Linked DNA regions of Daphnia pulex. The protein of the gene in region 3 interacts with the protein of the main gene of each other region in a pairwise test. Links are inferred from orthologs where the notes say so. Each region holds a gene or a part of one and is shown on either strand. Other genes may lie near its edges.

Region 1 (5,260 bases), on a different chromosome or scaffold from region 3:
TCTGTGTAGCAGAGACGGGCGTATTCTTCGAACCAATCGGCGATGCTAGGATTTAGCCATCCGCCCATGTCTTCCAGTGCTTGCGGCAAGTCCCAGTGGTACAGAGTCACCTAATTATTTGAAGAAGAAGAAAAAAATCACCCCAAGGTATAATATAGGAATATCCAGGGAAATAGGTTATAGACAGAGGCCATCGACCTATTATTTTACGAAATGAAATGATTATTTATTCACCATGGGTTCAATATTGGCGGCTTTGAGTGCTGCAATCAGTCGCTTGTAGTAGTCGACGCCCGGCTGGTTAACTTCACCGATGCCGTTGGGTAGAACTCGAGCCCACGAGATGGAGAAACGATAATGAGACACCTTTGGAGATCATCACCATAAGAAGATAATGAGTGGGTTGTAAGGCTACATGCAGTAGCATATAGTGTATCGAATAGATCAAGTTAATGAATTCATTTATACTCCCAAACTCTGGAGGGCGTTGACGTCTTTCTGGTAAAAGTAATAGCTGTTGCAGGCCGTCTGACCGGTTGACCCGTCTAACACCACGCTCGAATTGGTCGTGTAGACATCCCAAATGTTCAGCCCCTTACCTGGAAATTTACATTTTCAAAGGAATTTGATTTGAAAAAAAAGTGTCGAGACTAATGGACATGTCATTAGGCGGCTACCGTCCGCGTCCCATCCGCCTTCAATTTGGTGTGCACTGGTGGCGGCGGCCCAAATAAAATCGGGTGGAAACGTGTCGTAGAGCAGTGGCTCATCCACGTAAACTCCGGCCGCAGCGCCGGCTATTACCAGTAGCCAATATGCAAATTTCATCACCATCTTCTATCTACATATATACACACAATTGAATGGCAATTAAAGTATAACGGTTAAAAAACCCCGATATTTGGTTATCAAACAGACCTGTTAAATTGAAACCGTACAGCTTCGAACGTTCACGAACGATCGATTGAACACGTAACTGCTGGTCACGATGCCGTTTATTGGTGGGGATTCTTTATCGCACTTTATATTGATGGCCAGGCTGTGGCGTCAGCGTGTTTATCATGGTGTTATCGACCAATACAAACATTACGACAACCAAAGCTGTGCGCACGGCAACATTCTCTTTGTTTTAGGTGATAATAATTTAGCGAAACCAATGGGCGTAATGTCAGCCGTCCGTGGTTTGAATACGTTTATTCAAACGATTTACACAAGTACGTTAACAGAATTCGAATCGCGGGTATACAGACACACTCTTCATCTCAAAAAATGAATCATTTTTTTGTACATTTATCATTTTTTTTTCCTTTGTGTCTCGGAACAATGAGAAAACAAAATTCTGTGTGATTATTACATAAGTACGGTTTGCAAGATTGAACACTGATCCGACAAGACGAAAACAGAAAACCGAAACATAATAATGATATTAAAACGATAAGGAAAACAAAATGTCAATCGTTCCGAAAGAGAAATGTAACCCAACATTGTTTTTTTTTCCAGACAAGCCACTGCTGCTGTTGTCCACAAAAAAGAAAAATTTAGAGAAAAGTGAATCTAAGACACTGTGTCTCGCTATTGTAGCATCTCTTTCAAAGCTGAAAGGATATCTGTCACAAATTGTTGCTTCAAATTGGAACTAACTTTATATGTACATATATTTTTTTTCTTTGTGTTGAAATCATGATCAGACGGGAGGTGGGGGGAAGCCATATTGGTTGGTTAGCCATCAGCTTAGTTGCCGAAGGATTCTTGAGAAGCGTAGACCATGTAGAGGAAACCATCTTCATCCTGTTCCCTTTGGAAGAGTTCACCCATAGTCATGGAGATGCTGGCCATGCTGCGTTGGTTGACCAGCAGGAAGAAGGCCTGATTGGGGTTCAGTTGCATACGGCGTCTATTGGCAAATGGAGAGATCATAAAAAGGATGATGAAATAAATGCTGCATTGCACAAGAAAATGTGAAATTGGGTTAAGCCAAGTTGATTGATACAAAATAAAGTGCTGCCCTCTTCAGAAACACGAGCTCTAGCAGCCACAATGAATTGAGGCCAGGATGATTGCACTGATTACAAAATGGGTACCTCAATATTTTGATGAGCTCGGCAACAGTCACATGATCGGGGACAAGAAATTTAGTCTTGTCCAGGAGAGGTAGATTCTTCTCCCCAGCGAAACGTTCGACAATAATGGGAATCTTGTTTGGGTGAAGCTCTCTCACCATGTCCGCATCCTTGACTCGTTGACCTATAACAAATCGTCGTAGAGAAAGAAAGAGACACAATCAAAACAACATCGACAAATGAACATTGTATAATACTGCAAACTCACCGTAATTCCTGCGTTCTTTGAAGGAGGTATGCGTCATTTTGCTCATCACTTTTGTGGCAGCTAAAATGTGCAAGGCAAAGAAAGGAAACAACTCTTGGGCGAAAAAACAGCTGACACCCCAGCGACCCAGCAACAACAAAACAACAACAAAGGAAGGCGAGTTTGGGTACTAACGCGCAGGTCCTTGGCCTCAGGCTGTTATGTACTACGTGTGTTCCAATCGACGACTTTTGACGCTTTTCGTTGCTGAAAATATGGATTTCCTCTCTCTGCTCTCCACAAGTTGGAAATTCAACGAGCGGAATGAAATAGTAAAAAATGGAAATATTGCTCTTTTCGGTGAGAAAAATTTCGAGGCGTGTGACGACACGACTGAATGACGTTGAAGCAGACTGTGCACTGTCACAACAACAAAACCAGAACTCAAACTGGGGCTGACGAACGTGAACTGCGTAAAAAAAAGTTCGAGTGTATATATATAAGTTTGCAATGCGCAATCAAAAAACTACCAAAGACGCAAAAACTTTTATTAGACACCCATTTCCCCATCATCTCCCAGCAGGGAGAGAGGAAAAAAAAAAGCCCCATGAAATACAAATAGAGTCTCGACCGAATATTCCCTTTCCATTTTCAATGTTCTTGAGTTCCCCACTCTCGTATTTCTTTTTCTTTATTTTCATCCTTTCAATTTTTATCTTTCTTGGTCTTGCGTTACTCGACGTCATTTGAGGCTTTTGTCTCCAACCAGCATAGATGGCAGTTTTCACCGTTTATTAATCGGCCGCTAGATGGCAGTGGGCGTCCAATCTTTTTTTCCGACAGGACGCGCGTGGATTTTCGACAGCAGCGATTGGTTCAGACACCACAGACGGCTCAGAGTGTGGCTGCATGAGAGTGTGTGAATTTCCCTTGCTCACACACACACAGACTGAGGTCTGCACACAGAGACACACACGCGTCACTTTTTGGACAACACCAATCCTCGCGTTCCGTGCAGTGACAACAACTTTGACAATCAACTTGTTCGTGAAAAATCAATTGATCATCCAAATTGGTGTGTGTGTGTGATCAAAAGTGTCTTACACAGTTGGTTTTTCATTTTGAAACTGCACAGCAGACGGCTCCAGCGCGGCCATTGTTCTTCTCTGCCCCCCCACAAGTTTTTCTCTTCAAAATCCCCGGAAACTTCAATTTTTTCATTGGGGAGGGGATTTCTCTCTCGTTTTCAATTTACCGGCCATTTTCCGCGTCGAATTCTGTTATTCGTGGATTGGGGAAAAATCGATTCAACTTTTGGAAGCAATTTTTGTCTGGTAAGCCGGTCGAAGGAGGAGGAGGGGGTCTGTGTTGTTGGAAATATTTGCCACCAGTCTCGCGTCCAAGATGGAGGATTCCATCAGCTGTGGAGTAGCAGAAAAAACCAGCAGCAGCTACAACAACGCGGCTCAAGTGCGAGTGGTGTGAGTGGTGGTGGTGTATGTTATATCGTGTGTGTGTGTGTTTTTCGCTTCGCCACCTTTTTTTTTTTAATTCCTGATATCATTTGGGGGTCAAATTGAAACCACCCGCGAGATTCGTCTCGACAAGAAACACAAACGTTTGGCAAGAAGAAAGTGTCGTGTTAGTTTTTGGCTATTCAGTGTGCACCCCCACCTCGTGTGTGTGTGTGTGTGTGTGTGTCAGTGATCATCTCACCCAAAAAATTCGAATCGAAAAAAAAAAATTGAATCGAGAAAAAGAAATCAGAAGAAATCGGTTGGAATGCAATTCGTCATCGACTGCTGCCGCCATCTTTAATCCTGCAAAAATCACATTTTCGTCGATTTTCGCCAGGTAATAATTTTTTTTTTTTTAATTCGAGCCGTCGTAAAATGTGTCAAATGGTTATAACCATTTCCAATCAGGTGTGTAAATATATATGTCGGCCATCTTGTGTGTGGAAAAAAAGTTTTTCCATTTCCCAATCGTAATCTTATCGCTGTGTGTTGTGTCGCCGACTTTCGCCACACACACACAAACTCTCTCAGATTATTATTATACTCACAGACGTCACACACACACACAAGCCAAACAGTAATAATACCGGCGAAAAAATACGAATAGTTGACATTTTCATGTTTGGTTTCCATTTCATTAGCCAGCATAGGAGGAGGAGGGGGGTAGATGTCGTTCGTCTGTGTTTGTGTCATCTTCTTTTCCCCCTAATATTTTCGGTTTGGCCCCAAGGGGCCTCTTGGATTTTTTGAAATTGTCAGGGATTTTTTTTTCGGGGGTTAAAAAAAATTCACCCAATCCCTCCCTACAAAATGGCGGCGGCTACCCCCTGAACCCCAAAAAGATAAAAAAGAAAAGAAAAAGAACAAAATTTTTCCATTCAACTTCACATAAGCGGGGTGCATTCATCCGGTATTTTCTTTCCCGCCAATCGCCATTCCCCCTCTTCTACCATGTTTGGTCGTTGCGTTTTAATGTTTTATTTTTGAACGAAAACGAAAAATGTCAATTTGATATCATTTTAAAAACAATCTCACGAGAGAAACCAAGAAACTGACTTAAAATGGCAAAGGTTATTTAATTCGACCGCTAGAGGCTCTGATTGAGAGTTGATCGAGAAATAAACAAAAAATTCAAAATTCTGTTTATTTTACCTAATTTCTTTTTCAAAAAAGTTATTGTTGAAAGTTGTATATTTCGGTACGGTTCCACCATGAAGAAGGAAGAAGAAACCTTTTTTTTTTCTTCTTTCTTAAAGAAATAAAACTTCCCAAAAAGACGAAAGGCATTTTTATGAGGCCGGGGGGTTGTTAAAATAAATGGATGCCATGGCATCAGCTAGGCAAAAGGACGAGAGGAAGAAGTAGAAGAAGCTCAAAAGGAAGAGTTTGGATGAAACGTTGTAAAAAAGAGAAGAAGAAGTAGAAGAAGAAGGAAG
Region 2 (4,198 bases), on a different chromosome or scaffold from region 3:
GTGAAAACTTCTTAAGGCTTTCCGACCGTGAATTACTTTAAGTAAACGTTGAGGAAATGTATGAATATCTGAAATTGCGTAATTTTTTTTTTACATTTTTATCTGTTCGTTTCCAGAATCACACCGCAAAAACCATTGAAAGCTATGTTTGATTCGGCAATTTTTCTGGTATTTTCTCTTTCTTCGTCGTTGATTGCTGCTGTTGTCCTTTATGACCTATATCGCCGCCAGAAAAAGCATTCTGATCAAGAAAAAGAAGACCTTGATCTTGTTTGCTACTTAGCAAAGGTTTCTTTTCAAATGACTCATATGCATCATCAAGTTTCAAACAATTTTTTATTGATAACCTTTTTGCGCAGTTCCCATTTGAGATGAATAACGAAGATCGTTGTGTGGCTCTAATGAAAAAGCATCAGATTTCTCCTAATGCACCGAGTAGCAATTTGCAGCGTTCCCATATAACACCTTTTTTGGTAACAGTTAAATTGATGCATTAACAAAAACATAACAAGATTTTTTTAACCTTCTTTCATGCTTTTTTATTAGTCAGCTTGCTTTGGAGGATCGTTTAAACTCATTCAGTTCATGCTAGAATTCGGTAATTTAAAAATCGAGTATTTTTATTTCTAATATCGAACAAAGAGTGATGAACTCAACTTGCGTGCTCTCAGGAGCGGATAACGAATTCTACAATCTTAACGGAGATGGTGCCCTTTACATGGCTATCTACGGAATCGCGTGTCGCCTTCAATCTGCTCAGTGTGCTCAAAAACGAAGCAGCGAAATTCAGCGTGGTGTTCTTATAATAGACTGCCTCACAAATCTAGGTACCGCTTTTAAAAACGTTTATACTCTGCCTTTTTAAAGCACCTTTTCGGAATAGGATGCGATGTAAACTCAAGGAACGAATTTGGTTTCACTCCTTTACACTGGGCTGCTACAACAGGCGAGAAATGGCTAGTTGATCATCTTTTGAAAAGAGGAGCTGATCCATTCATTTTGACTACTCACAGTAAAGCTCCACCTTCTGCTTTTGCTTCAGAGAAGAGTAAGTGAACATGCTATGGCTTAAGAGTTACACAAATCAATTCCCTCACTTTATATCTTTCTTATAATTATTTTTTTTAGAACACGTCCAAATGCTATTGAAAGAGGCGGAGAACGTACACCGATCATTCTAATTTGACTTCCGTGTATCTAACGCCAGTAACTGTATTACAGATGTATCATACATACACACTGTACTGTACACGAAAAAAGACCAAACACCCAAACATGGTGAAACTGAAATTCTGATCGACAAAATGTAATAATTGGAGTATGATTATTAGTCAAGAAGATGTGGAGAAGGGAGCAACAGAATACAGTGTACAAAGTGCTCTAAAAGGAAATATGTCACTGACATTTCAATGGAAAGCACCTGTCTGAAAAATAATTAATTTCCATAGACACTTTCATCACTATAAGCTATGTAAAGAAAATAGTCTTCTTCGTGATGTTCCTGATACAAAGTTCCCATTGTAGCACAAGTAGGAGGAATTACATTGTTGACAAAGAAAAACAATGCATCCTCAGGTCGCAGATGGATTCGTTTGCGAATTAAGAAGTAGAATTGGCCAACAGTAAGATCAGATGGAACCAGATATTTTTTCTTATCCAGATCACCAATCCTTGCTTTTGGAGCCTTTTCAACAATGACCTAAATATTGTTTGAAAAAATCCAATAGATTAAAATGATAGGTTTCACATATTCAGCAGATATAATTTGAAACAGTTCTGAATTCATAGAACAACACTAGTTTTAAGTAACAATAAATTTCAAATGAGTTTCAACTGGTTGAATTTGGCTTGTTCTCAGAGAAAGTTGGTAAACAAAAAGTGATGGAAGGGAAATACCCTAACAAAGGAGAGTGACTTACAGGGACACGATCAGGATATTTTCGACGAATCTTCTCCCCCTCGGCTCTTCGTTTTTCGAAAGGATGTTCTTCTTTATATTGCCACTTCATAATGGTGGATAATTCTTTATTTGACAGCTTGAGAAAACCGCACAGAGCGAGTAAACTTGACAAAAAGTTAAAATGGTGAACGACAAAGAATTTAGGTCTCTATCAACAAACGACGCAGTACGTTTTATTTTGTTCTTGCAGAAACAGAGGGGCTGGCAGGGGCAGGCTAAGGTTTTAACTATCGATATAGCCTACTACCCAAAATTTCGCAAGATTCGATTTATATCAGTATTTTCATTAAGTGAGTTATCTTTTTCAATTCATTCAAACGATAAAAAAATAAATATTTAAGAATTTCCCGAGTAAGTTACATGGTGATTTGAAAGTAATCAAAATATGAAATGTCTTAACCTTTGCTACTAAGTAGGACTAACGATCGATACTATCCAACCATCCTCCAATGTCCAATCCATAAATCCACATGCGGTAAATTCAAATGAGAAAATTTGTCGATTGAATGATGCAATCGTAATGAGAAAAATTTAAAGCTGTATCTATAAAATTAGAATTTTGTCTCTCATATAATCAGATTGCGAAAGTATAAAAACAAAATCTTTTATATTTGAACTATTATATTAAGTTTAAGAGTATAGACTATAGACTAATAAGGGCTCAAATCAACTGGATTCAGTGTACAGTGATGAAAATATCATTAGCTACATTTCACTTTCTTTTAATAACTTATTATTAAACACAGTTTATTTCATAAGAATTTTTTTTACTGTTGCAATCTTTAAAAATGAATTAGCTATCTAAATAAATGAGCTAGCTTATTTATAGAATTATAGGAACTACTCAAAATTACTTTACAAATTTAAAGTAAAATTAAGATGAAGAATATCAAAACCATTTGAAGAAAGAAAGACTAATGTATTCCATGACAGTATAACACATTCACATTACACAATATCTATTCAATACCTTCTCTCTTTTTCCACTTCTCTTTTAATTCAGCCAATTTTTCTGATTTTCTAGTGTTATCTTTACTCTTTTTTTCTAACAATCTATTTTTTTGTGCCTCAATACTGTCCTCCCCATTGATTAGATTATCGAGTTTTTGGGTTAAGATTTCACGGGCTAATTCTCTGTTTTTAGCTAACGAGCGAGTCTGGTGACACTTAACAAGTAACCCTGAAGGTTTGTGACGTAAAAGTACAGCATTTGAAGTTTTATTTACAGCTTGTCCTCCAGGGCCACTTCCTCGTGTAAATTCCTCTTCTAAATCTTCAGGATGTAAAACTGGCACTTTTGAATTATCAAATGTATGTTTGTATCGATAATGTGCTGGACACACAGTTCTTTTCAACGACTGGACTAGTACTGTGAATTTTTTAGCCATATTTGTCACAGCAATCTCCTCTTGGACAGAAAACTTTGTCCCTTCTGCAAAAAAAAACATATTTTAAATTGAATTATCACTAATGAAACACTATAAAATAATTTCAACCTCGTAGGCTTTGCAAATTTCTTCTGGATTCGAAAGTGTTTTGTTCTTGTGAAACTCACTTTTGATTCTCTTTGAAACCAAACGTTTGTCGGATAGTTTTAACTGCCCACTGTAACGGATACAAGATCGGAACAACTCAAATATTTGAGTTTTGTTAGGAACGTTCATTATAATAAAAATTGTGTTCATCAAATTTGTCTTTTAACGACGAGGCTTTTTCCTTATTCTTTCATGGATTTTGTTTTCGTCTGCTGTTATTCACCAATTTTATTTTACACTATACACTGCGGCTAGTTTAGTTGGCGATTGTTATACTAGATGGCTTTAGTGTTTTGTCACACTAGATGGCCATGAGATGGCTTTAGTTGGCGATTGATTTCACACTAGGTGGCTATTCAAAAAAATCACTTACTCAACTTATTTTATATAAATATAAATATAAAATTTTTATATTTTCCCTGTCATGAAAATGGTTACGTACGGCTGTACGTTTCGTCACATGTGGAAATACTTCAGAAGAACAGTAAAGTTGTTGGTGTAACTGTAACCCTTCACATTTAGTTATCTGATGACGTTGTTTCTGATAATAAGCGAGTTTTTATTTTTCTATCAACAGCATGGTGAAGTTTGAGCTTCTTCATTGCATTCCAAATGCGCTGTGCAGTGTGATTTATTGGAGACAGCTGGTGAAAGGTGTTGCTCTTGCAGGCTTCCTACCTGTACGAAATGTAGCTTTTGTCAC
Region 3 (5,192 bases):
TCGTCACAGTTCAAGCATACAGAGACAGAGCGCACGAATGCTAGTGCAAGGGCATTTGCCAAAGGATTATTTGGAAAAAAAGACATTCCTAATGTGTTCTTCCAGGAGTTGAATTCACCAGATAGCCTATTGAAAGTATTTTTTTCTTTTCTAATTTTATGTTATTACGTTCATCAACAAATTACAACGTTTACTCTCTTCAAATAGTTCGATGAAATATGTGATAAATGGAGAAATGAAGTTCATAAAAAGAAGAAAGCCTTAATTGAAAAAACGCTTTTTGAAGAATCGGGTGAAATGTTATCTGTCATCCAATCCGTTACCAATCGGTTGGGTTTCTTATCTCCACTCAACCTCAGTAAGAAATCGCCAACGTTAACTGAATATTTTATAACTAACGAATAATTTGTGCTTTTTAGATGATATTAATGAAATGTACACTATGTGCACGTTTGATAAAGCTTGGCGTCCAAAGAAGCTTTCGCCGTGGTGCGCAGTTTTCAGCAAAGAAGACCTTAAGGTTCAGAGTTGTGATTAAAAAGTTCAATGTAGTTAATCAAGGATAACTTCTTTTCTATTAATCGCAACCTTTTAGATACTTGAATATCGCGAGGATCTGAAATATTACTATGAAGACGGATATGGGTTTCCCATAAATTACGAACAGGCTTGTATGCCGTTGAAGAACGTCTACGATAGTTTTAGGTAAAGACATAAAAGAAATATAAATATACAGTCGCACAGTGTCGTCATTTTTCCTTCAACTCCAGGCATGTTGTGGAAAATCCAGCTTCTTCAAATCCAAAGGGAATCTTTTACTTTACTCATACTGCAACTCTTCTTAAAGGTGATTTTCTATATTATTTATAGCATTATTTGATCATAATAAATTTTGTGTTGCACAGTGATGGCCCGATTTGGATTATTTAAAGATCCCATCGAAATGAAACATACAAATCGCCATCTTATGAAGAATCGGGAATGGCGCACGTCATTGATTAATTCTTTTGCCGCCCACCTAGCGCTGGTCCTTTTCAACTGCTCGGATGGCCACTATATCACTGCTTACGTACAAGAACGTCCTATCATGCTGCCTGGATGCTCAAGTGAGCTATGCAAGTATTCAGATTTCACGAAAAAATACGAAAAATTTGCCACTTCTTGTAATGTTGATGACATCTGCCGTATCTAATCATTTTATTCCAATATGTTGTACCCTAGCCAATATTCAATAAGTGCATTTAATAGGGGCCAAAAACTTTGCATATGTAATGTGACACCTGGTTTCGATGCTTTCAATCAGATATAAACGTGGTTCTCGGGTATTGGGTATCTCCGTTTTAATATGATGCGATATTTCACGTATTAAAAATGCTTGGCACGATATTTACCATTTAATTGTATTTTTAAACGCTTCGTGATAGGAATCTGGCAAAAAAAATCGATTTAAAATAACGTTTTTCGAAGTCTTTGTCGGTCGTTATTATAATGAACAAAGTCGCAGACAAATCGCAGACAAATTATTCGTATGAAATCTAAAGTAAGACACATCGTTCAGAAGAACTCAAAAGAAATCAACCCAAGATCTCGAATTCATCCTCTGAATCCGCGCTGTCAAGAGCAATGGCTTCATCCGCTAAATCCGTGGTACTCGGATGCCACTCCGCTTGTCTTTGACTGCACACTTCAAATAGATTTTGTTTCTTTCCTATTTCAGTCATGTCTTTAAATTGTCGAAGCAAATCCTTCCATTCGGAATGTGTAGTGCACGAAAAACACTAAAATGCGAGAAACAAAATAAGACATAATTTTCTTAGTCTTTCTCTACGTATATCATACCACTGCTAAAGAGGGATCCATGGATTGAAAAGAGATCCGCGCACATGTGGCAGGATGATAAGAAGAGTCGTCGAACTCATCTTCGTCAAGATCGATAGCGTTTTGGGTCAAATGAGGATCCAGAAAAACCACGTCGTCTCCTATAAAAACATCAATTAAAATTGAACCGATGTAAGTGATGTCTATACATACCAACGTAACCAATAAAATAAAGGGCCTGACTAGGTTTCCCACCGATCATTCCAATCGATTGAGGCATTTGAAGACAAGCCTAGCAATTTACAATAAAAATATCTTTATGATTATCAAACACATCCTACATTTACAACATTATTCTAATGTTACCTTCAGACTGTCAATGTAAATTGGATTGATGTTCAGTAAACCTAACCGTAGGGGAACAACAAGTAAGAGCGGACTCCACGTAGACGTTTCCGTTTCCGTAGGGGTGATTTTCTTGTGACATAACTGTTCTGTATAATAAAATAAAAAGATAAAGTGTAAAGAAGTTTTCTTAAAAGATCTTTGACATATTGATGTTGTGACTAACCAATTTCTTCAATAACAACAGCATTATCCATAGCAACATGGATCTTCAATGCTGACCATTCATCATATTCAGATAATTTCCTTTAGGAAAGGTTCAAAAAATAACATAGTAATGTATGTGAGCATTTTAAAATTACTGCACTTACTTCAAGACTTGGGCAACAGTGTTGGGACCAAACCATTGTCCGATTTCTTTGCCTTCACTTACTCCCATTTGAGCTAATTGGTGAATAGAGTAGACTGCTGTTTTCTTGTCTTCAAAAAGCTTTAAAATCTTTTTATATGATTCAGTTGTTCTTTGATCATCCCCTACTGGCCAAAATGGTTCCCTTCCTATAAAAAATCATGTTAAACATGGAAAAAACATTAGAATTTAAAAATTTCACCTAAATGCTGATTAATTAGAGCCTGTGCCACAACCATCTGGCCACAACGAAGCATACAACCCCAACCACGGTCACTAGTCATACCAGAATCTCCAATTGGAGGAAAATTTCTACGATATGTTAATAACAGTCTGGACTTCACATCTGAATTAAGTTCATCCAGTTCTAAGAAAAAAAAAAATATCTTGAATTGAGTGAAGTTCTTGGCTAGAAGTGACTATTAAACGCCTACTAGTTTTTGTGTCGTATTCTCGGCCGAGTATCCATACAGGTTCATCATTCACTTCGAATCCCTGACGTTCAAGAATGATGCCACTCTCGTAAGTTACAAAAGCTTCACAGGCTTCAAGCATTCTTTTTGTGTTGACAACAAAAATTTTAAAAATGGAAATTAATAGCTTAATAACTAGAATTACGCATCGCATTCGGAGACGAAACTACCATTTACAAATTGACAACAAGTTTGCTGATGTGTCTGCTAATATGTCAACAGTAAGCCACCTTGCGCCCGATTTTGTAACTATGATCTATAAACTGCTAATTAACTATAAACCAATTTATAGATCATGGTTCTAACATGGTTCTAACTCTAATCGGCTCTAATAGCTATGACCGATTGAACTTGATATTCATAATTATATCCTGTAGAAACGGGCAAGTCATCCTGCTTACCCTGCGCGAGTAAAAATACACGGCTGCAACGCTCCGTTGTACGCGTAATATACTATACCGCCAAGCCAACTAATAAAAAGGGCATAATAAAATGATGAAAAAGAAAAATTTAGATTTAACCATAATAACATATTTTTTTATAAACAATAATTGAGAATGACATTTTTTTAAACAATGTGTTGAATTGATTAACAAGGAATGTTGGATAACTTTGTAAATTGTAAAACAAATTTTATCTAGTGAAGTCTAAGGGCCTAAGTTAAGTCTAAGTGTCTAACATTAGAAAATTCAAAGATGAGTATGGTAGACATCGATTTTGCTTATTTTCCGCCCCACTGAGCCATAGGTCCATTGAAAGGATACTTGATGCATTTATCCGAACTGAGATAAGCTGCAACTTTTTCTAGCGCTCCGATTCCCGCGTGAAATTCTTTCAGATTAGGGAATTCATCAAGTAATCCAGGAATCAATTGAGAGTTCTGGTCCAACAATTCATACATCACAAAGTCCATGTGGGTTATCTTTAAAAAAAATTCAATAATTAAAAAGGTTACATTGGCAATTGAAAGTCTAAAAAGAAAATTTCACCAGGCTGATGAAACTTCATTTTCAAAAATTGCAATCTTTTTGCTGTGAAATTTTACATTGGCTGTTAAAGGTCTAAAAAGAAAATGTCACCATACATTCTGTCCTGCAAAATATGGGTGACTTCCCAGAAAGGTGGAAACTTCCTTCAACTTCACTGCAACATTTTTAATGTAATCTGGTTTCATCTTCTCCTGTAATAAACATTGAGAAGAAGAAACAGTCAAAGCATACACAAATATTGAAAATGCTGTTTAAATTATACTCACAAAATCATCATGATAGCACAGTGTGGACCACTTTGAACGCATATCAATGGCTTCTGCCTCTATCAAGTCCACTCTGATTTGCTCCTCCTCAGTCTTGGCTGCCATGTTATGCTTGCGACCCAAATATTTCAGAATGGCAAAAGTTTGTGAAAGCTTGACATCTCCATCAATGTAGTAAGGGCACTAATAAAGACACATGACATTAAAAAAATCATCTGCACTCACCAACATGTTCATTAAATAGCAGATATACTTACATTCGGGAAATCCAGACCAAGGTTAAATTTGTTGTTCAACCACTCACTCGGGTCATAGTCGGGAGCCGGTCCAACATTATAACGCTTCTCCTCATACTCAACCCCGGCATGGGCCAAAAGAAGTCGAATAGGTTGCATGTACTATTATTTACACCAAAATTGTCAAACACAGTTTCGAAAACGATTGAGACAAAAACAGTTGAATGTTCTTTTCTTAATTAACTTACCCCACGAATATTCCAATAACCAGTTTTGACAGCCATGATAAAGTCAGGTAAAGTAGCCGTACTGTACTGCAGACGTTCTTCTCTCAGGAGTCGAATCGCTCGAATGACTCACGACTCAGTAAGCCTGTGCGCTTAGGAAAAAGATTACAAAGTTGAGGGATGGGAAGGGGCATAGTACAATCTACAATGTGTGAAGTGATAAAGCGATTGATGCGCAATTGCGCATTTCCAATGTTTGGACGAAATGTTAATAATTCCTATCCAAAATTATGAATACTTTAGTTTTCAACAATCGAGTACAACCGGATACCGTGATAGTCATAAATGTATCTTGCATGACAAACGCGACCTGCGCAACTCTAAATACACGGCCGCAAGCCTGCAACGCTCCGCGTCTGGTTCCGTTTA

The links. The genes of interacting proteins can lie anywhere in the genome.
Region 1: the proteins of cysteine protease ATG4B-like (region 3) and microtubule-associated proteins 1A/1B light chain 3A-like interact in binary tests that used the Caenorhabditis elegans proteins (3 or more experiments, as listed by UniProt). The link is inferred for Daphnia pulex from reciprocal best matches to the Caenorhabditis elegans genes atg-4.1 and lgg-2.
Region 2: the proteins of cysteine protease ATG4B-like (region 3) and gamma-aminobutyric acid receptor-associated protein interact in binary tests that used the Caenorhabditis elegans proteins (3 or more experiments, as listed by UniProt). The link is inferred for Daphnia pulex from reciprocal best matches to the Caenorhabditis elegans genes atg-4.1 and lgg-1.

The regions. Positions count from the first base shown.
Region 1 is NC_060019.1:5,714,608-5,719,867, forward strand, and holds microtubule-associated proteins 1A/1B light chain 3A-like, read right to left. Parts: upstream 3,091-5,260; 5' UTR 2,375-3,090; coding exon 2,329-2,374; intron 2,245-2,328; coding exon 2,082-2,244; intron 1,895-2,081; coding exon 1,732-1,894; 3' UTR 1,176-1,731; downstream 1-1,175. Other genes in the region: cytosolic beta-glucosidase-like, read right to left, coding at 1-110, 235-366, 469-599, 678-834. UniProt on the Caenorhabditis elegans protein: Ubiquitin-like modifier involved in the formation of autophagosomal vacuoles (autophagosomes). When lipidated mediates tethering between adjacent membranes and stimulates membrane fusion. Less effective at promoting membrane fusion than lgg-1.
Region 2 is NC_060018.1:4,840,185-4,844,382, forward strand, and holds gamma-aminobutyric acid receptor-associated protein, read right to left. Parts: upstream 2,191-4,198; 5' UTR 2,010-2,190; coding exon 1,920-2,009; intron 1,700-1,919; coding exon 1,436-1,699; 3' UTR 1,182-1,435; downstream 1-1,181. Other genes in the region: 26S proteasome non-ATPase regulatory subunit 10-like, read left to right, coding at 145-288, 360-473, 547-598, 672-827, 884-1,048, 1,129-1,181. UniProt on the Caenorhabditis elegans protein: Ubiquitin-like modifier involved in the formation of autophagosomal vacuoles (autophagosomes). When lipidated mediates tethering between adjacent membranes and stimulates membrane fusion during autophagy. Recruits lipidated-lgg-2 to maturing autophagosomes.
Region 3 is NC_060025.1:3,217,024-3,222,215, forward strand, and holds cysteine protease ATG4B-like, read right to left. Parts: upstream 3,395-5,192; 5' UTR 3,200-3,394; coding exon 3,007-3,199; intron 2,940-3,006; coding exon 2,775-2,939; intron 2,722-2,774; coding exon 2,535-2,721; intron 2,470-2,534; coding exon 2,390-2,469; intron 2,313-2,389; coding exon 2,185-2,312; intron 2,111-2,184; coding exon 2,032-2,110; intron 1,980-2,031; coding exon 1,840-1,979; intron 1,779-1,839; coding exon 1,575-1,778; 3' UTR 1,383-1,574; downstream 1-1,382. Other genes in the region: multiple inositol polyphosphate phosphatase 1-like, read left to right, coding at 10-135, 208-358, 420-520, 596-705, 771-847, 906-1,192; glutathione S-transferase Mu 3-like, read right to left, coding at 3,767-3,967, 4,130-4,225, 4,301-4,483, 4,558-4,698, 4,785-4,820. UniProt on the Caenorhabditis elegans protein: Cysteine protease required for autophagy. Cleaves the C-terminal amino acid of ATG8 family proteins lgg-1, to reveal a C-terminal glycine.